Neodiprion lecontei: one gene and its partners. The protein of the gene in region 1 interacts with the protein of each later gene in a pairwise test. Links are inferred from orthologs where the notes say so. Each region holds a gene or a part of one and is shown on either strand. Other genes may lie near its edges. The genes, in order: neurogenic locus Notch protein, protein deltex, neurogenic protein mastermind and segment polarity protein dishevelled homolog DVL-3.

Region 1 (4,570 bases):
AGGCGACGCTCTCGACCTCCGGTTTCGCCAAATCTTACGCTCTGACCATTCGGATATCTATGCATTGAATTATCACAATGCTCTTATATCGATGTTTTTGAATAGTTCTCAACTCCATCTTATTATATAACACATACTTAAATGCAGTCTACATTACAGTTTCAAGAATTTCGTTATCATTATTATATCAGCCAGTTAACTTTATCGCATAAGATGGAGAAAAAAAATACTTCTTACACGTAACTTCAAAAACCCAAAGAATCTTTTCAACGATTGCATAATTTTATATTCAACTTGGAATTTAATTCCATCACACCAGTTTCACCCAAGAAAGAAAGAAAAAAAACTATTCTGTCACTACTTTTGTATAATCAATTCTAATAAAAAAAATAATGACAAAGATTTTGTAAAATTTTCCAATCATTGAACAAAGATCATGTATCGTATGTTATATTTTATACGACTGTGAATAAAATTTGAATCAATTCATCGAACCTGACTAATACTTATTTTCAACTTATTCATCAATAATGGTCAAAATCTATCGTACATGTATAGAGAACAATACACATAATCCTACATTATATATAAGACACACGGCAATGGGAGAGGCGAAGATAGGTTTCTAAGGAGAGAAGAGAAAGCCTGAGAACATAGTTCCGTAGTTGTTGAGACTCCGACAACCTCTGTGCGGCATCGGTATTACATACCTATATACAATACGAGTTCAACACATCCGTAAATTTGGTCTAGCCTAGAGTGAATGTGGATTATGAGTATATACACATATGTATACGCATATGTGTGTGTATATATATACACATATACACAGATGCAGCGGAGAGACGGACTCCAGGTAAGCTAATTGTAAGCCAGGGCGCAAGGAAGGCATGGATGGAAACCGAGGCGAGGAGCAAGGCCTAGTTATTTCGCCTCAGAATTCCAGCCGACACGCAGACGAACCACCGTGCGCCATGTTTACTCGCGCTTCATTTCTCTCGGATTCTTTATTCCGGCTGGGACGGGTCTATTGTATGCATTAACGCATTCGCCACTCGCCGGAATTCACCGGAAACGACGCTACAATTATAACGAATTTTTTCTTCTGTACCGCGTATTACTGTAAAAGTTAACGCCGTAGAATATGAAACGTTCACATGAAATACAGTTGCTCTGACTGTAATTAAAAGTTTAGGAGGGATAATAGCACGCAATAGTTCTTGTTTTAATTTTTTTATCTTGTTTTTTTTTTTGCAACTTCCAAGTTGTATATTTTTTACGACGGTGATTTTACAGTTGATTTTATAAAAGAGTTTTGAAAATGTTGAACGTCAAGTTATATTTAGTTCATATTTTGGAATAGCGTGAGTGATTTTTATCTATCACGATTCAAGTAGAAGGTTGATTGTGTTATATGGAAATATAACGATTGCTTAAAACGCGTAATCTGGAAAAAGGGTAATCCGACTTTTGTAAATAATTTGAAAGTTGTTCCAAAACTGATATATTTCCTGTTACAAAATTACGGATAAATAAAATTTGGGAAACGATTTGCTTTGAGTTTATTGTAAAATTCATCAGATTTTTAAACGGTCCTAATAATGCGGTGAGTGTAAAATTTCACCTGGATATCAACGCCCGAGTTCAATAAAGTCTATATACATATACATATACGTGTACGTAATAAACCCAACAAGAAAGATATTCGTTTCGTGGAAAGTGGGGTTGAACACCTGTCGTTTCAACAGGGAGTCCCAACCTGTGACGGAAAAAGCCGGTACGCACACGCGAGACGATTTTTCAATTGAGAACCGCTGTCGCGACCACGTGACTCGTGTATTCGGCATTTTATAAGCACTCACTCGCTCAGGCAAGCAGGACTAGCTGTGCGTGAGGCTGAAAGCCGGTCCGGTCGTAAAAACGAATTTGCGCAGAGCGAGGAACTCGAACTCTAATTCATTCAGGAATCGTAAAACGATTCGTTATGTATTCAATTATTCAATGCCTTAGTTGCGTGTTCGGTGAGAATCGGGCGAAATGTAATGTTACGGTAGAAATTTCGATCGATCAAGCTTGATAGAAAACTCAAGTTTTCACTTAATTTGAGTGGAATATTTAAACGTAAGTTTATGGTTTACCGTGACTTTTGACAAAGCTTAAATGCAAAGTTCAGATCGCTCTTCGGCGAGAGGTTTTGATCAAGCTTGATCGAAATTTGAAGCACGCGGCGGAAGGGAAAAAGAAAATGTCAGATTTGTTTTCATCGCGCAGAATGAATGGAAAAACCGGATGCTTGCGGTTACATTGATGAATCAAGAGATTTTCGAGGTGGCGGTTTATTCGGGTATATTTTCGGGACAGGTAGTAGTGGAATGGCAGCAACTCGACGCCTCGCGACGCGCCCTGAAATGCTAATGCAGGAATACTTGAGGCAGGCATTCGCTCGGCGAAGCCGGGCTGCCGACTTTGGGGTGTTTTCGAGTTTTTAAGTAGGACAGCGCGTTCGAAAATGTCGCGCCGGCGCGGAGAAACCCGCGTCGCTTTTCAGACCTGTTGCACAGCCTGCAGCTGCCGTCGCGACGGGGAGTTTTTTGTTTCCGCACACGCGCATTCTAAGGGGGAACTTGAAATTCCGGGTGACGACTACGGAGGATTCTTCCGTTTTATTCGATGAGAATAAACTCACCGTGAACCGAGGCCGGCAGACTGGCGACGAAAAGAGCCAGAGCGACGATCGTCAATGCGTAATCCATATTCCGCTGTAGACGGAGCATGTTGGCGGAGAATTTATCCACACAGAGATCACACACATCAGACAATTGATCACACAATCACTTAATCACTATAATAACATAATGCGATACCGTGCAGTGCAACCGGCTACAGTCCATTATCGTTTAACACCCGGGTAACTTCAATGTTCATCGTAACTTCAATCTGCTGCTGCTGCTGCTGCTGCTCCGGCGGCGTGTTTACATTACGCGAGCTGAACAACGTGAAGCAAAACAACGACACAGACCTCATATACGAACATGACCGCGGCTCAAACTCGTCTGGGATTCTATTGTTCACTTCACGCGCTGAAAGTAGTCCCGGAACGGCGCGCGCATCTCGAGCGAGAACGCTTGTCTCACTCCGCCGATCACAAAATGGCCGACACCATCTGCCAATCCCGCTGTCCAATCGAGGGGTTGATGCGTTCTACGGTTCCGTTCGAACTACGCTATGAAATTGTACGAGTGCCCGTTTTCGACGCCCTGCAGCCCTCCGCTTTTTTCTCATTCGGTCCCCTCGTATCGTTTAAATACCTCCGTCACGTGACACCGCCTCCATTTATGCCGCGGGGGACAAAAAATCCTGCCGCACGCTGCCTCCGAAGGGCCTGCTTGGCTATAAACTCTTGTACAAATATTAATATACGTTGGTTTATTATCGAACACTTCAATGAAATACAATCTTCATACGATCTTCTTTATATGAGATTATCAGATTCTTAGGTACATGTAATCCTATTCGCGATGCACCAAGAACAAGCGGGTTTCGGCTGACCATGAGCCAGCCTTTCAACTTGCCGTTTGCAAACTCGTTTCGAGCTGAAATAATAAGAATGATATTAATAATGAAAAATTTACAGATCTCATTGATTCGTGATCACCGACTCAAAAAACCTTCAAGTATAAATTTTCATCAAAATCCAATTGTTTTTAGTTTTTTTAACTCGAGATTCGTGATTTGCGACATAAAAATCTAAAGTAATGACACAAATGATCATGCAAATTTGTTCACCCATTTTCAAGGTATCATTTCTATTCTATTTGTAAGAATATTGTTATTTAAATAATTCGACATGTAATGAACCAATCAAAGCCGAAATATAATCCGATCTACGTTTCGAAAAATCGCATCAATTGCGACAAAAACATTAAAATCGTGATGCTCTAGATTTTAAAACGTGCAGATCTAGTGAGAACTCAACTTTTCATTTTCGGAGCTATTACAATAACTTCCTTTTTACTCTGAAAACATAGAAAAGAGAAGTTAAACGTGCATAGCTGCTGAAAGCAGCTAAATTTTTTATCTTATATGAACTCACTAAAAATTTTGTTACAGTAAATATCGACTTAATTAAATTTGAAGAATCTTTTTACTTCAGACAGTTGAAATGAAATCTTGTCAACTAAATATAAATTTATGAGAATGGAATACTTCATTATTTCAAGTAAAGATTTATGCGTTACAGATAAATTTTTTAATTTGTTTGTACGCAACTAAAATTTATTTGCTTCAGTTTCACTTTATTTTTCTGAGTGCAGTATTAACTCTGTCTTGCAATGATATTCTTTAATTTAAAGATTTGTTCGAGTTTGAAAATTCGTTTAAAATAGAAACTATGTAGAAGCTCTTGGCGACATCAACCTAACTACTAATTATGGACGAAGCGTTTATGTTTATTATACATTACATTATAATACTGTTTCAGCCAGTTCGATATAATGAGATATCGCGTGTGTATACACAATTAATGAAGGTAATTTAAGCTCGTTAATAATAGACATTTGAGCCTTGAGAA
Region 2 (5,833 bases), on another chromosome or scaffold:
AAAATCAATCCTCGGCCATCTTGAGCATATCTGGAGTCCCCCTGATCACAATGTGATAGAGTTGGCCTTACTTCACACCGTTGGGCGATCATTTTAAATGATGTTATGGAGACATAATCAATTGTCAACATTCTGCCATTTCTTTTTTTTTTCTCACTCCCTGACTTTTGTAATAATTAACTCACTGGTAATTTATATACGCATGACTTGCAAACGAACATCGCCACGTATGTTTGCCGAGTTGCCGCAGTTCTCGGCGCCAAGAAATTTGAATTATACCACGGATTACCAAAAAGTGTCCAAGTCGTTTCGATATCCTTCACGAGTTTGGGCCGATTAAAATATGTATTTTTTAAATTTCAACTCAGAATTCAAGCTCATAATAATACTCCCGATAATGCGTATCTGTGTTGGCATATATCATCTGGCTATACTGATACCAAAAAACGCTACTGGAGTATACCATAAAGAATTGAGTATCCCAAATCATTAGATATAGCATGAATGTACTTGTTTTTGTATCTGCTTTGAATTCTGCGGGATTTGCACTATTCGGAGAATTCTCAGACTTTCCAAAGCTTTGGGTCCCTTCTCTGATTGTGATTAAGTAGACCCTGGCCGTCTATCTGCCAACCTGACTGAAGTATCTGTCAGTATGTTGAAATTTGTGCAATATCTGCTAGTGTCCAAACACGGCACTCGCAAGGTACATACAGGAAGAACGAAAAAGGTTGGTTATTGGTTGAATCTGAAATTAGTTAAATTACAATCTGATGAGAAAGTGTAATTTGTATATTTTATACTAATTGTTATATTTATTTAATATATTTCTATCATAAATATATCTATATATCTATTTTCATTAATACCATTTTGATGGAGTATAAATCTACGTATATGTATATAGTATATAATATTTTTCTGGAAGCACGGATCACCATTCTCCTCATAGTATTTTGTTCCATTTAAAATTTAACGCAAGGTAAATTAACATTTCGAGATTATAGCAGACTAAAAACAACCGCACGAATATAATGCTGCAGATCCATTTAACTACACAAAATTTGAGAAATATATTTCAAAAAACTTGAAAAAAAATGTGCGGAATACACACACACACACATGCTAACGCACACGCACACACGCACACGCTCTCACGCTTATATGTAAGTATAATATAAAGCTATTAATATTGAATTGCAAATTAAAGCTATTACGCCAACGATAATTATTGTATAATACGTAAGGCATTGTTGAGACCATCTTGCATGTCCCAAATAGTATTAATATTCGCCAGAATTTATTCACCACGAAAAAAAATTGATTTCTTGTTTGGCAGACTGTTTCCTCTTGTTCAGTCAGTCTTTTCTCGTCAGTTTAACTGCACAGCTGCTCAGCCCAACCCTGATCTAAAGAATATTTTCGCAAAGCGAAAACGTCGAAATACCTGAGTCAATGAAGCTCTTGGTAGAAACCAGTCACTGATTGGCCATCGGAAACTCCTTGTGCCGCGAGTTCCGCGAGCGTTCGTTCCAAGTATGAAGCATCGGGATACCCATGTCCCAAGGTCGACGGACCTAACTCAGTTTTATGATGAATTTCGTTCCAGGTAACGACATCTTCTCGGCCCGTAGTCACTGACCGTCCAACGGTGAAGATCAACCTTCTCTCGAAAGCGATTTGCAGTAGTCTTAGGACTTTTCTGCCTGTGTCGTTGTCGGGGAGATAACAAACTCGAGGAAAGCCAACTGCGTAGTATGTTTGGCCAGGATTTGGGTGCTCAGGACCCTGAATTCCTGATGGAATGCTAGAAACCAACAAGAAACGCGTAAAATCGAGAAAACCGAATGAAATCAAGTCAGTTTTGCGAGAATGTTACGCCTACTTACTCGTAAGTTATTTGAATTGTGTTCGTGTTCGGGAATCCAGGAAGAGACCGCGGTATTCTGGTCCAATTCATTGTCCCTGGAGGTTGGTTTCCTCTCTTTTCTCCATATATCAATCGGCACACTGGACACTGTATGTACATTGGTTGCTGTTGTGAACTAATCATTGCGTTTAGACACGCTAGGTGTAACCTGTGTCTGCAGCGAGTCAACTCGACTGTCAGAGGCTCAGGAGAGCCCAAACAAACAGGACACGAATCAGCACCGGCACTTTCAACCACCCTTACATACTGAGATATGACATCAGGAGCTTCGACTACAACGCCTGAAACGAATGATTGGCCTTAATGTTGGATGTACTCTCTTTCTTGCAATATGTTGAGTAAGCTTCTTGCTCACCAATAACTGAATCCTTGAAGGCATCGTCACTCCCTACACTGCTGTCTAATAAATCAACATAATTTTCGTGACTGAGATAGGTGGATACTGTATCAACGCTAGGACGCCGACCACTTTTGGTGCTGCTTGAATCAATGTCTAGTAAATTGGAATCCCGTGTCTTGCGTTTTTGAACTGGTTCTGTAGTGCTTTCTACTGGCACGTTTTCCGCATGCTTATTACCGAAAATATTCAAGTTATTCAATATCACACGAGCGATGTTTGTTGGTCCTGTATCGCCATGTTTTCCCTAAAAAAATGTTATGCTTGAAATCATTATAGGTTCTGATCAAGTTTTGACTCTAGTATTGATGTAAGCTTTCAAAGGTTCTTCTCAAACCCATTTTATGAGATGATTCAACTACTTTACTAATCAATCATCGAGCACTTTGCATTACCTTCTTGCTACTCTTCTTTCCAGTCCCATTGGGTAATTTCTTATGTGTTGGTTTAGCATGTGGATTTTTGACAGTTCCATTTAGTCCTCTTCTTCCAGTAGTCGGTGGCAATTCCTCAAGCGCAACTTTCACTAAAGGATACGGTGCCTGCTGTATACGTCTGATCGGGCGTACATAACCTGTGCAACATCTAACTTGAGTAAGGTTGCAAAAATTTATTATGTAAGGAAAGCCGAGGTATGTTTTGGAAACGTCAATTGTTTTGTCACCCTGGAAAAATCAAAAGGTAATAAATTAATTAAGAGAAATATTGCTCTTATACGATTTATAAATATTCGAACCAGAAAAGTTACATCTTAGAATTTTTTAAACGCACCCGTGCCCATGCTTCCTCTATGAGGCACTGGACCTCCATGTCGTAAGTGTGCCAATCGTCAGTGTCACCGACCCATTCCCACTTGGCACCTTTTCCTGCCGGTGATCCAGGCAAGTAAAATTTTCTCCTAACGTTATGAGTTTCCGTGCCATCGTCACTGCACTGCGTCTTTGTCCTCAGATTGATGTAGTATCTGATACAGACGAAACTGTCGTTTTTTTTCATAACAGATGGAAAAATACACCGAAAACTAATCAAGTCCTAGCAAGAAGACCTTGCAATACCCAATAAGCAATACTGAGAAGAATACAAGTGTGTACGCAGAAATATGTGGCTATTTTTCAGGGAACGAAATTCTCAAGCTTGCTATTATTAAATCCCAAGCATCGTGGAACCAATCGAGCTGAAATATTTAGACTATTCAATAATTTATATCATCTTCTCTTGGTAACTCAACGAAGGAAGAATTCAACTTTCCAATTTTCAATAGAGAATCGTTCCAAGTAGCATCTAATGGTGGGGTAAGATCGGGTCAGTTTTAATCTTTTACGGTAAATACGATTTTAGATAAAATATGAATATCAGGGTACGATTAAAATACAAAGCAAGCTGCATGGTAAAAAAAAATGACAGAGCTCATAGAAATGATCCATTGCCATTTTAGTGTAAATTTTATTTTCTCATACCTGTCGAGGCTCGGATCTGCGTCGTTCAAGAATACCCTGGTAAGTTTTTTGCAATGGGCTCTCTCCAGGTGCTGGGAAACCGCCGGACTGTACGGCCTCCATCTAGCTTGTCGATTTTCCCATTCCCACACGACGACTGCGTGCCCACTCATCTTCCTCGATCCTTCAGGTTCGAGTGAAGTGGGTGAAGATGAGAATGGTGTAAATAGAACGGTCAACGGTCAAGGCCGCTCTCACAGGACGCTGAGCGCCGCGAAAGATGAACTGGGACGAACGTGGCGATCAACTCGGTTCGACGTGACCGTGGGAACATTTTTCGAATTCATACAGCTCCGCCCGCACACCGTAGAGAGTATCGGTGTTGTCTGTCCTCCTCCCCTCCGCCCCTCTCCACGATCCTTTTGTATACGTCTGCGTAACGAGAACGTAAATATTGGAGTTTCAGTTTACTCCGTATTAGCCGACGGGTTATTCGCTAAGTAACGGCGATCCGTTTTCTCGCTCTGTTTCATTTACCCTTCGATGACTGAACAATCGACTTGAAATCACCGGAGTCGGCACAGAATTAAAAGAGAAAAGGATGGACGCTGCTTCCTCCAAGCGCACTTGTCACTTCCCAGCCTTCCCAGCATCCGACTCCCCTAGCCAGGCTTAACGCCGAGGAGAGAATTTACTACAATTTTATAGTTCTCACTGTTTTTCACTTGAGAATTGCAATGCACGTTATACGATGATAAACGTTTCCGTGCACATTTGTCATTGTCAACTATTCCCTTTATCGAATTAGTTGATTACGGTTAACAATCTGATGAATTAAATTCCTGCATTATACGTTACGATTGTATGCATAGTGTTATGCACACATAGGTACACAACGCACATGTATACATTAAACATGGCATAAATGACACCTGTCGACCCTTTTTTCTTTACATTTATCTCGTAAGATTCGAAAGTCAGAATGCAGAGCTCACGTCGTTTTTTTTCTACGAATTCGAGATGATCAAGTGTAACGGCTCTGCGTAATTCATAAATTTACAAAACATGGATAGGGTTCATTGCTCTACATTTTTTTTCCAACGAGCCAAGTATGCGTTTCCGATTCCTGAATTTCTATTCGAAGGGTTGGCAAGGCTGTCATTGCCCATTTGTATTGAGCATTGACCACTTCACCGTTCGTCGGAGACGGCTCTGCACAATTCGGGTCGGACCCGTACTGTGGATTAAAAATACAAGAAAAAATTTTGTAAACAGAGAAGTGGCAAAGTAGCCGTCTCAAATCGTGTCTTAGGCAAATGAACTATGCGGTGAAATGATCGGGCGATGAAGACTTGCTGTAATAATGAAATAACGCAGCTCATTCTCACACGATATATCACAAATAGGTTATAACCGTTTCTGCTGGATATCTAACAATATTTAATATTGTTTCTACACTTCAACTTATAAACTTCTACGCAAAATGGATGTTGAGAAAATTGCTATGGTCGCCGGTGTCGGGTTTGCCCTTGTTATCGGCGCTTTTGTACTTTGGGGACCTTCGCCTAGGCCTAGGCGAAGAGGTAATAGCATACAAGTAGCGATCGACGATTGTCTCCTTTCCTTCACAAGTCTTTCAATTGATGAAGTCATTTTTAATATTATACAGTAATGAACCGTTGCCCGTTTTATCCTAATTACTCAAAAAACTAGCTTGTTTACCTATAATCATTCCTCTTGGAATTTATGTCATTGTCGTTATTCTAGGCCAAATTATTGGACTCACCAATCTAGGATACACTTGTTTCATGAACGCGCTTCTCCAGTCTCTAGCAGCGTGTCCAATGTTTGTCGGCTGGCTTCGGACGCAGCTTGTCAACAATGAAAATGGCCAATTTGCCCGGAGCCTTCTCTCCATTCTAGATAGTAAGCTTGCTCTCGTTTTGAGTACTGCATAAACAATTGTAACAAATATGTAAATGATTTTTATTGTTAAGAGGTAAATGGCTTCTGCGACGAAATGATATATGGAGACGTAACACCAATTGAAATAATAACGTCCCTTGGACC
Region 3 (4,602 bases), on another chromosome or scaffold:
GGGAGCCGGCGGCGAACAGAAACGGCGAGATCGCATCTCTCTCGCGGAGTCGTCGTCGTCGTCGTCTAGGGTATAAACGTACACCAGAGACGCGTGCGTATGTATGCACATAGATGCATGAATCATGGAGAGAGTTAAACGCGGGAATCGAATTGGAATGTCGGGTTGCTCCGGTCTAAGCTCGGATTACTGCACTGGCTGGTTGGTTGGTTGGGTCGGGCAAGCAAGACGCCCGTAGTCACCGTCGTCCTCCTCGTCCTCACCGTCGCTCGCCCGTTACATACCGTTGTTGTACTAACGACTTTCCGTACGTGCGGCTCAACTAACTCTCTATCCCTCTACCTCTCTCTCTTTCTTTTCTTCCTTACAACGGTATCACCTCGAAGAGGATTAGGGAATTCGAGACAATACGTTTGACTTGTAAGAAACGGGACAGCCGGAATGTTTATGACCGTTTTAGGTACTTGGAAAGAGAGAGAGGGAGGGAGGGAGAGAGAGAGAAGGGCTTTTATCACAATACGTACAGGGAAAGGTTTCGCATAATAAAGAAACAAACGGGAATAACAGAGGTAAACTCACCACGTGAACGCTGGCGAGTCCGACGGGGTCGTTTTGCTTCTTGTCGGTCTTCTTGGCCTGCCGTTTGGCCTTGCTCTCGAGAAATCGTTGCTTGAGCACCTGAGTGTCCTGGCTATTTTGTTCAACGAGTCCGTTGAAGCTCTGATCAAACCTGGGTATGCAGTCGGTCTGCCGCCTCCTGTAGCTTTCGATCCTCCTCCTTAGCCTGTCGAATACGGCCTGCCTCTTTGGGGTTAAGGCATCCTCCATCCCCGGCGCCTGTCCCATTTGTAATTGTTGTATCTGATTCTGGGCGATCAATTGGTTCGCGTTCAAGCCACCCGGCTGCACGATGATGCCGTTGTTGTTGTTGTTGTTGTTGAGGTTGTTGTTATTGTTGTTGTTGTTATTCTGGTGCTGCACGCTCTGCTGAGACGCGCCCACGCAGGCCGAGGCTGGCCCTGAGGGGGGGCCTTGCGGGGGCTGCCGGGGCAGGAGCCCCCCTGCCTCCATACAGCCCCCTAAGTCCAGCGCAGGGTACGCCAGCTCAATGAGAGCCTCTGCTTCTCGTCGCCCTGGCGCCGCGACGGGGTGTCTCCTCCGCCACCGCGATAATCCCCCCTCGCATCCTCCCCTTGCACCGCGAGCCGTCCTTCCACGGGCGGACAGCCGCCGCTCCGACTTTTACTTCTACCTCTACTTCTACGACGACTGTTTCCACGTCTGCGTCTACGTCTACCTCAGCCTCTGCCTCTTCCTCTTCCTCTTCTTTTTCTTCTCTCTTACTCGAGAAGGTGCCCCCGTTGGACTTGACTCGCAGATTGTCACTCGCTTCTCCCTCCTCCGCAACCTCGTACATCGGCGTACGACGCGCGATTGTTCCTATTTTTCGTCACCTCCCCTTCGCCCCCGCCTCCTTGCAACAAGGAATTTTACGTTATTATCACTCGGCGAGCGCTATACGCTCTCCTCTCGCTTTTGTCGCTTCGCTGCCGCTTCTTATCGTATCGAGAATCACGCGTGCCGCGCTCGCGCAGGCGCAGGCGCAGGTTCAACTCCGTGACGAGGAGGGTGAAGAAACACACTGCGAACGGCGACGACGGCAATGCCCTATAGCGGTGGTAGCGGTCCTCTTCCACGTGATGTAAACAAGAACCCGATGACATTCGGCGGCGTCTTCGTTACGACCGTAAACATTGTAGGGATTCGACGTGTTGTACTTCCACCTAATTGTCACTACTGTCAACTCCGCGCACTCTTACCCAACTATTGCACTTTCTTTGTTCGCCGCGCGTGTGTATGCACTACGTACGAATATCAGCGGCAGCCCTTTCTCGCCTCTCGCGCCGAAGGGTGTAAAAGAACGTCAACAAGAATAACTGTAAACAATCCGTCCCGGCGAACCGCGCCACCTTTCCCGATCCTCGACTTGTTCGACGCACGACGGGTATCGCGTGCACCGATCGCGAGTAGTCTCGCCTACTTACTCGTCGTTATACGTACGTCTCCTCGAGTGCTCTCCTACCAGCCGATCGTCGTTCGCAGCGGCAGAAGGCGACGTCGAATAACGCGCGGCTCGACGTCACAACAGGTAGTTGAGAGTGAGCGCGGCGTGTTTCAGCCGACTAGAAAGAGACGGTCGTAGGTCGTTCGGCACGAGGGGGGGGGGGCGGAGTGCGACATCCAACGGACGGGGGTAAGCGACGTGAAGAGCGAGAGAGAGAGGGGAGGGGGGGAGAGAGACGAACCGGTGTACCGCTGCTAGAGAGTCCGAGGGACGCACAACTGCCGTAGCTGCAGCCTGAAGCCAACCGCAGGAGAGACGGACACGCCGGGTTTATCCGCCGCCTCCCTCTATTTTCTCTCGTTCTCTCTCTCTCTCTCGCTCTCTCGCTCTCTCTCTCTCTCTCTCTCTCTCTCTCTGTTTGCGGGAGAGAAGGAGGGCCCGATGTTGTACTCGATAAAACGTCAAGACAGAAGAGAAGCGGACTTCTGCGATTCGGGCTAAACGCCGAACGACGACTGACGAAGGTTTCGATCGTGAACCCCGTTCGCATTTACTTCTTTCCCGTGATCGTTGCACTTTGAACGGTGGTGAGAGTTACATGTTGTTTCGAACGCGCGGCGTTTGTCACATGTTGTTTGTTTTGCTTTATCGACAGAGAGGGGGGATGAGTAACACCGAGGTTCTCGTACGCACAATGATAACACTTCACACCGTATCTTCCTTCTCCTCGTCCTCGTCCCGTAAGTCTAACCCTAACCTCACTTTTCAACTGTCACTATCCACTCTTCGTCGGGTCACAGATTCTACCGCACGGTCAGTTTACGTTAATCACGACGCGCGCGACCCCGCGATGACAACACATTCAATTCCCCCAAACGGCCGTCTCGTTTTACCCCTGTATAACGCGCGGGGCCATTACCACAACTGCGCGTGGGTACGGGAGCATATATCGTTGAAACGGCAAACCGTAATTACAACATCGCAAACAGCGACGCCTGGATCCGAAACGCCGAACTGCCGCGCCACTGCCTTTCTCGGTGGGACACGTGACCCTCGCGCCATCTTGAATTCAGGCTGCCGACTAACTGCCTCGTCGACGCTCGGGAAGAAAGCTGTCGTGGCGAGCGTGGATGGCGAGGATGTTTTGGAAAAGCGGTTGCGACCTTTAACCGAATGAAACTGAGAATGATTCGGGAGTAACCGCTCCCTTAGTTGGCGAATAGGATTCGTTTCACATCTGCGAATTCGAATGAACAGATTTACTCGCAAGATTTTAAGGTAAGGCATTTTCTTACGCTAGGGTTCTTAATACTCTCACCTATGGCGCCACAACCCGGATCGCATCGATGTATTTTGTTTTTTTGCATCGTCAACAACGTGAGAAAGAAACCGATGCAGTGAGTTAATCGAAATACATACATAACAATACGTAAAATGCGAAGCGATATGTGAATTTCTGACTTCCCGTAATTTCCCGTATCCACCAGGATGCGTGTCGACTTTCACACAAATTTGTTTCGACCTGACCCGAGAAAACAAAAGACAGAGCAATCAGGCGACTCGAAATCGGGAAGTTTTATTGTGGAAGAGGATTTGTTAGTACTTCTCACGACTTGATCAATTGATTATCAATCATGCTATCGATTACAGACCTGTTTTTACGACAAAAAGGAACCTGAAGGAGGCAACATTCGCGTTCAATCGAAGATGCCGCTGGTAGTCTTATTTTGTAGAGAGAATCTTATCTGGCCTACGGTATGCCAAAGTACACGATTCCATAGAAAACACAGATAAACGATCGGAGATATTTCGAAGAAGAAAATATGGGATACACAAATTGAGACGCAGTAAGGTAAGAAGTTACCGTGAATAAAAATTATTGGTAACAAAATAAGGAAGGGAGGGAGAGCGATTCTTTCTCCCTCCCTCCCCCCTGCCGTAATCAGGCAGAATGCAAAATATTTACCCGTGAGCTTACGAACACGGCAAGCACAAGTTTTGTTAATATTTGACATTTATTGTCAATTCTGATTGCAACGGTTGAGCTTTATTCACGGAATTAACAACAGGTAAATTCCGTGAACCAGGTAAATAAAAAAGTATTTAAATTTGACACTAATTGACGAAGTGATTATTATCTTTTCTGCTCGTTCGGATTCCCGTAGTCGTATAATTGGCTGTGAACCGGAACTTTGGTTAATACGGTTCAGTCAATAAGTTTCTTGCCGTTTGGTTTGAAAAGTTTTTCACAATTATCCCAAACCTTTTGTCACTGATGTTTTAGCCTATGTTAACGACTTTCAAATTATCATGCAGGCGTTCTGAATTTCTCTTTTCTCACAAGTTAGTTGAGCGTTCATAATTTATTATTTTTAGACTTTTTCTTTACTTCAACTTTTACTTCTCTTTGCGTGCAAGAAATCACTAAAAATGGTAGCTCTCTTCATCGTTTTTATCTATCTATTTGTGCTCACGGTGTGACAAAATTGGCAATGGTCGCAAACAGGGTTGAACTCGTTTCTATATCTCGTTTCGGT
Region 4 (5,035 bases), on another chromosome or scaffold:
AGTAATACAATAAAGCAAGGTGAGGATATACGAAGTCAAAGCTCAGAAAAAGTGCAAGGAGAGAATAAAGAGACACTATATTCTAACGGACTTACGAAATATACTCGACTTAGAACGAAGGCTGAATTATCTCCGATAGCTGCAATAACAAAAGACGGAGGTTATCTCAGGCAGCAAGAGTTTCCCATCCATGCAGCAAGTGCCAATTGTGTTATTTGTGGTTTGTCTACATCGTTCGAAAACACTCGCTTCCACCGCACGTCCGTCGAGTACCGATCGAGGGGGCCCCTGATTGTGCCTCGACCCTGTTTTCGTGAAATCAAACCGTGTAATAGATATCACTGCGTCATATCAGAGCCAACGAGGATATCCAGGGAATATATTCTAATGATTACCGACTCTCCGATGACGGCTCGAATCCCTGCCAAAATGACAGTGTGGTTCATGAAGACTATACAAGGAGCACGAAGTTAAATACTTGAATTGACAAAACTTGTCACAGTAATCATACATATTACGTTAATTTTTTGTACCGCTAGCGTCGCTAGTGTTCCTTTAGCAGCGAAGTGTCATTGGTTGCAGGGATGCCCAAGATCGACTAATCGATGATCTTGCAATGGGATTCGTAGAAAGTTTTCACTGCCGCCTTATGCCTCCCCCCAAACTTAGTTTCAGTACTTATTGAACACTAGTGACCTCTCATTTTGGGAAGCAATTTGTATACATCAAGTTCGTGCTCCTTGTATAAGTCTCCATGGTGTGGTTGGTAATACTCGGCGATTTTCGAGACTACTTGGCACATGACGTACTTCCGCTTATGCGCAGCAAGGAGGTGCCCAGGCAAAGGGAATTTTATTTAAGTTATTGAGCAAGTTCGATCAGACGTCACTCAGTCACCAGAATACAGCGCGTGTATTAAAAATTTCTGGAGAGCGCAAAACCTATACAGATCTGAGGACCCAAAAGCCTGACCCAAGCATTGAGTAGTAATACCGTGTAGTAATGAAGAAGGCTAGCCCCTGAGCAATGTAAAACAACATTCCTTTCCTATTAGATAGATAAGTCATAGAAATTTCTGGAAATTACCACAAGTTGCGACAAGGATTTTGAGTTATAACTTTACTGTTATAACATATTACGCCAGCTTTCTTACAGTGCTACTTTAAATCACTCTTTAAATAAACTGGTATAGGAATGCGACCCCAGAACAAATTCAAATAATCTCTGAGCCTATTTTACTACCATGCAATTTGCCCATTTGGTTGGCGTACTTCGGATATCGCTAGTTTACGCCACAACCCTAAAGCATATAGAAGTAAGGAGGACTATCTTTGTGTATAGAAAGTGTCCATGAAATAGGGTGAAATTAAGATGGCGTTGTAGGAAAAGTTCCACATTCAACAGAAAGCACGAATCAGATTGAAGCCTTATTGCTTATTAGAATCATTCTGGTGACTTGTTGAGCCACTATTTGTCGCTTTATGGTGGACACTTTTTCAGTTGATAACCCACGTGAGATAGCTACTTCTTACCTCTTCGCGCCATATACTCGAGGTAGCTTCGCGTATACAGAAAGGTAGCGGAGGAGTGAGAGAGAAAGGTATATGTCGAGTATAATCTGTCTTAAATAATCATCTAATTGAATGCGAGAGACAGAGTGCCCCTAATACTTCTCTCTCTCTCTCTCTCTCTCTCTCTCTCTCTCTCTCTTTCTCTCTCATCACATCGGCTGCAGTTTTCGCAAGGTGACAGGTTGGGCAGCCACCTCCCGTAGTATGTGCTCTAAGGCCACAACTGAATTGAACTAAACATTCGAAATCTCGATGATAATCGACCTAGCGCTGCCATGAAGTTGGCAATTTAACTTGCTAAGTCTAGCAGTATATTCTATATCGTGTTTGTGGCCCATGCCCATAAAATCCACGCTTTTTTATTACCGAGAGATTCTCAGGAAACCACGAGGCGAAGTTTGAAAGCCCTAGGTCAAAAGCAAGTTTTACATGCCTCTGATGCGTGTCAAAGCGTTCGAAATTTTTCACATTCTAACCATACGATATGTTCTCACAATCCATTTTTCGCACGAACCACACGATGCGAGTGTATTCGAAGCAGCTAATGAGAGAATTCGATTAAGGAGGAATGGAGACACCGCGATCCTCCCGATGCTTTTTCTGTTGATTATTACGATTTCGGTGAGATTGTTCGCCCCCGTCGCAGCCGTGTGCGCGACCGGATAAGATTTAACATTATTGGGAAGAGTAGGGTGCGCAATGACCGTCTGCTGCGCGAGGTAGCTGCGCGTTGAGATAATAATCTGGAACCCCAACGAGTGTCGACAGCGCCATGTTGGCTTAAGAGAAGAAGTGCACGGAGAGTAATCAACGTCCGTGAATGTTCTCCGTTTAACAATCTCCCAGCGATGGAGGAGACAAAAATAATATACCACATTGACGACGAGGAGACACCGTACCTAGTTAAGCTAACAATATCACCGGAGAGAGTGACTCTAGCCGACTTCAAGAATGTCTTGAATCGTCCGAGCTACAAGTATTTCTTCAAATCGATGGACGACGATTTCGGGTAAGTTTTGCACCACCCTACGCTCTCCTTATCATCCAGCAGCGGATCACTCGCCCTGCGCTTGTTTCCTTTCGCTCTTGCCCTTTCTCTCACCAAAGCCTCTACGCTACTCCATATTTCATCCCCAACATCCCTCGGGAACCAGGATACCCCGACTTTCAGGGTGCGAACCCACACTCTGCCCCTCTCGCCAGTCACCTTCCTCTATTCGTCGTCCCTGTCGCTCCGCCACCATCCGTCACTTTCCGCTGTCTCTCAGGATCGCCAAACACTATTTCACTTGTCCGTCGGATAGAAATAATCGACAAACTTTACTCGAGTATTTACAAATTCTGCTCTTCTTACCTCAAAACGCGAAATAGAATCTGATGTATAAAACGATTCATTTCTAACACTACTTGTCAACACGAAGCTTTTTCTTCATTCATTTTTTTTCCTGTTTTCTTTGTTTTTTTCCGTGCTTTCGCGTAGACAGTTCACATATACGCAATTCTTTCATTTATCGAACATTACAGAATTCTTGTTTTTAAAAAAAAACATGTTTTTCACTATTGGACTTGAGTTTTAAAACGTGTTTATTGCGCTTTTAGATATCTTGCTTCCATTTTGAAATATACAAGAAACACTTCTTTGTACGATACTTTGACTAATTCGCTCTTGTCCCAATAGTTGTTCTATCTTAGAAATACCAATGGAAATATCTGCCTTGCGTCTGTACTGATTCGTCTTGCATTAACCTCTTGAACTTTTACCTATAAATAATATGTTTTCACAGCGTTGTCAAAGAAGAAATAGTTGACGATGACGCACATTTACCATGTTTCAACGGAAGGGTTGTGTCTTGGGTAAGCACTCATACCCGTAAGCCTAATTAGTTGATTTCATTCGCTGCACATTGCCACAGTAAATAACAAATGGACAATTCATAGAAGCATAATGATGATGTTTTGAAATTATATAAAACTTCTTGATAGTAAAATATTAGTAAGTGTGCATAATTGATGTAGTTAAAATCACTGATGATCATTTTTTGAATATTGTCAACAGCTGGTTTCTGCTGAAGGCAGCAACGTATCAGATGGAGCATCGCAGTGCACAGATTCCGTAGCAAACAGTGAGGCAAAACATGATCGCCCTGACCATGTTACTCCAGGACACATGAACCGAGCACCTCCACTGCTCTCACACGATGACACATTGACAGAAACTGAGAGTATTATAAGCAGCAGGCAAGGCCATCATCTGCACAAAAGTTCGCGGCATCATTCGGACAAATATGAGAGACATAACAAATATAATGGTAATGTGGTTCCTTTGCTTGTCGATTCCAATAGCATAGGATTGATTGTAATTATCTACGACTTTACTGTTATTTTATGATATGATACAGGGTTACGCATAAACGGCCATTCCAAGCATCGTTCCGGACATGGATATGAAACCGCATCGATTTTAAGCTCCGACTTAGAGACAACTACTTTCCTGGAATCTGATGACGATGCGAGCAGCCGAATAACGTCTACGACTGGGCGACACACGAACACAAGCAGTGCCATAGATAGAGCAACCTTAGGTATGATGTTTGTGTATTTTGTTGTTTAGAGCTGAGCTGTATCGAGATTTCTTTTCAATATAAGATTCGTTGTAAACACAACTGGCTTCGAAAATCATTGATGCAATATTCATTTCACTTATAGACCGTCGCAGGACGCAGCGAAAACGTCGTCACAGATTACCACCAATGTCAAGAACGTCATCGTTCAGCAGCATCACTGACAGCACCATGTCTCTGAACATTATAACCGTATCACTCAATATGGACACTGTCAATTTTCTCGGCATTAGTATCGTTGGCCAAAGTAACAAAGGAGGTGACGGCGGCATCTATGTCGGCTCCATTATGAAGGGGTAAATATAAATATTTGTTACCACACATTCACGAGTTACTTCAGTGTCTGCCATTTTTATTGAAATCCATCTTTATCACATATCACTGGGATCAACACGTGGTTTTGCTTTTTTCCTACATCTGTAGATTATTTACACGTTATCACGTTTAGAGTAGCATCTTTACATGTTCAACGACTCAATTTTATAATACAGTTTATTTTCAAGTAATTTTTACAAACGAATAACTTAATGAAAAACGACACGTCAAATTCTGCCTAAGGTTTCGTTTTCACGAAATACGCGGTACCGAAAGGACTCTGTAATATTTATTTTTGTACAGAGCATCCAAAGTTTGATCATGGTGGCTACTGGTCAGGGGGCAACCTGGAAGGCTGGGAAAAGTCGGAATTTTTTTGATCAGGTTTTTTAGCGGTATGGAAAGACAAGGAATAAAACTTCTCTAGAGAAAAACAAAATGCGATAGATATTTGTTGTTTAAATGCTCCTTTCCACGACCACTGAGTGCACCATCAACGTTTTTTCAAATACCGATTATTTCAGAGAT

The links.
Region 2: the proteins of neurogenic locus Notch protein (region 1) and protein deltex interact in binary tests that used the Drosophila melanogaster proteins (3 or more experiments, as listed by UniProt). The link is inferred for Neodiprion lecontei from reciprocal best matches to the Drosophila melanogaster genes N and dx.
Region 3: the proteins of neurogenic locus Notch protein (region 1) and neurogenic protein mastermind interact in a two-hybrid assay, tested with the Drosophila melanogaster proteins (5 studies listed by BioGRID). The link is inferred for Neodiprion lecontei from reciprocal best matches to the Drosophila melanogaster genes N and mam.
Region 4: the proteins of neurogenic locus Notch protein (region 1) and segment polarity protein dishevelled homolog DVL-3 interact in a two-hybrid assay, tested with the Drosophila melanogaster proteins (3 studies listed by BioGRID). The link is inferred for Neodiprion lecontei from reciprocal best matches to the Drosophila melanogaster genes N and dsh.

Annotation. Positions count from the first base shown.
Region 1 is NC_060261.1:15,201,927-15,206,496, forward strand, and holds the start of neurogenic locus Notch protein, read right to left. Parts: upstream 3,032-4,570; 5' UTR 2,775-3,031; coding exon 2,687-2,774; intron 1-2,686. UniProt on the Drosophila melanogaster protein: Essential signaling protein which has a major role in many developmental processes. Functions as a receptor for membrane-bound ligands Delta and Serrate to regulate cell-fate determination.
Region 2 is NC_060264.1:2,162,153-2,167,985, forward strand, and holds protein deltex, read right to left. Parts: upstream 4,241-5,833; 5' UTR 3,937-4,240; coding exon 3,785-3,936; intron 3,307-3,784; coding exon 3,099-3,306; intron 2,993-3,098; coding exon 2,723-2,992; intron 2,575-2,722; coding exon 2,286-2,574; intron 2,212-2,285; coding exon 1,890-2,211; intron 1,808-1,889; coding exon 1,453-1,807; 3' UTR 1,448-1,452; exon of another isoform or gene 826-1,447; intron 749-825; 3' UTR 511-748; downstream 1-510. Other genes in the region: ubiquitin carboxyl-terminal hydrolase 30 homolog, read left to right, coding at 5,247-5,346, 5,531-5,689, 5,761-5,833.
Region 3 is NC_060265.1:1,241,313-1,245,914, reverse strand, and holds the start of neurogenic protein mastermind, read right to left. Parts: upstream 3,011-4,602; 5' UTR 1,072-3,010; coding exon 580-1,071; intron 1-579.
Region 4 is NC_060262.1:8,146,943-8,151,977, reverse strand, and holds the start of segment polarity protein dishevelled homolog DVL-3, read left to right. Parts: upstream 1-2,026; 5' UTR 2,027-2,419; coding exon 2,420-2,580; intron 2,581-3,355; coding exon 3,356-3,425; intron 3,426-3,627; coding exon 3,628-3,880; intron 3,881-3,970; coding exon 3,971-4,153; intron 4,154-4,277; coding exon 4,278-4,488; intron 4,489-5,035.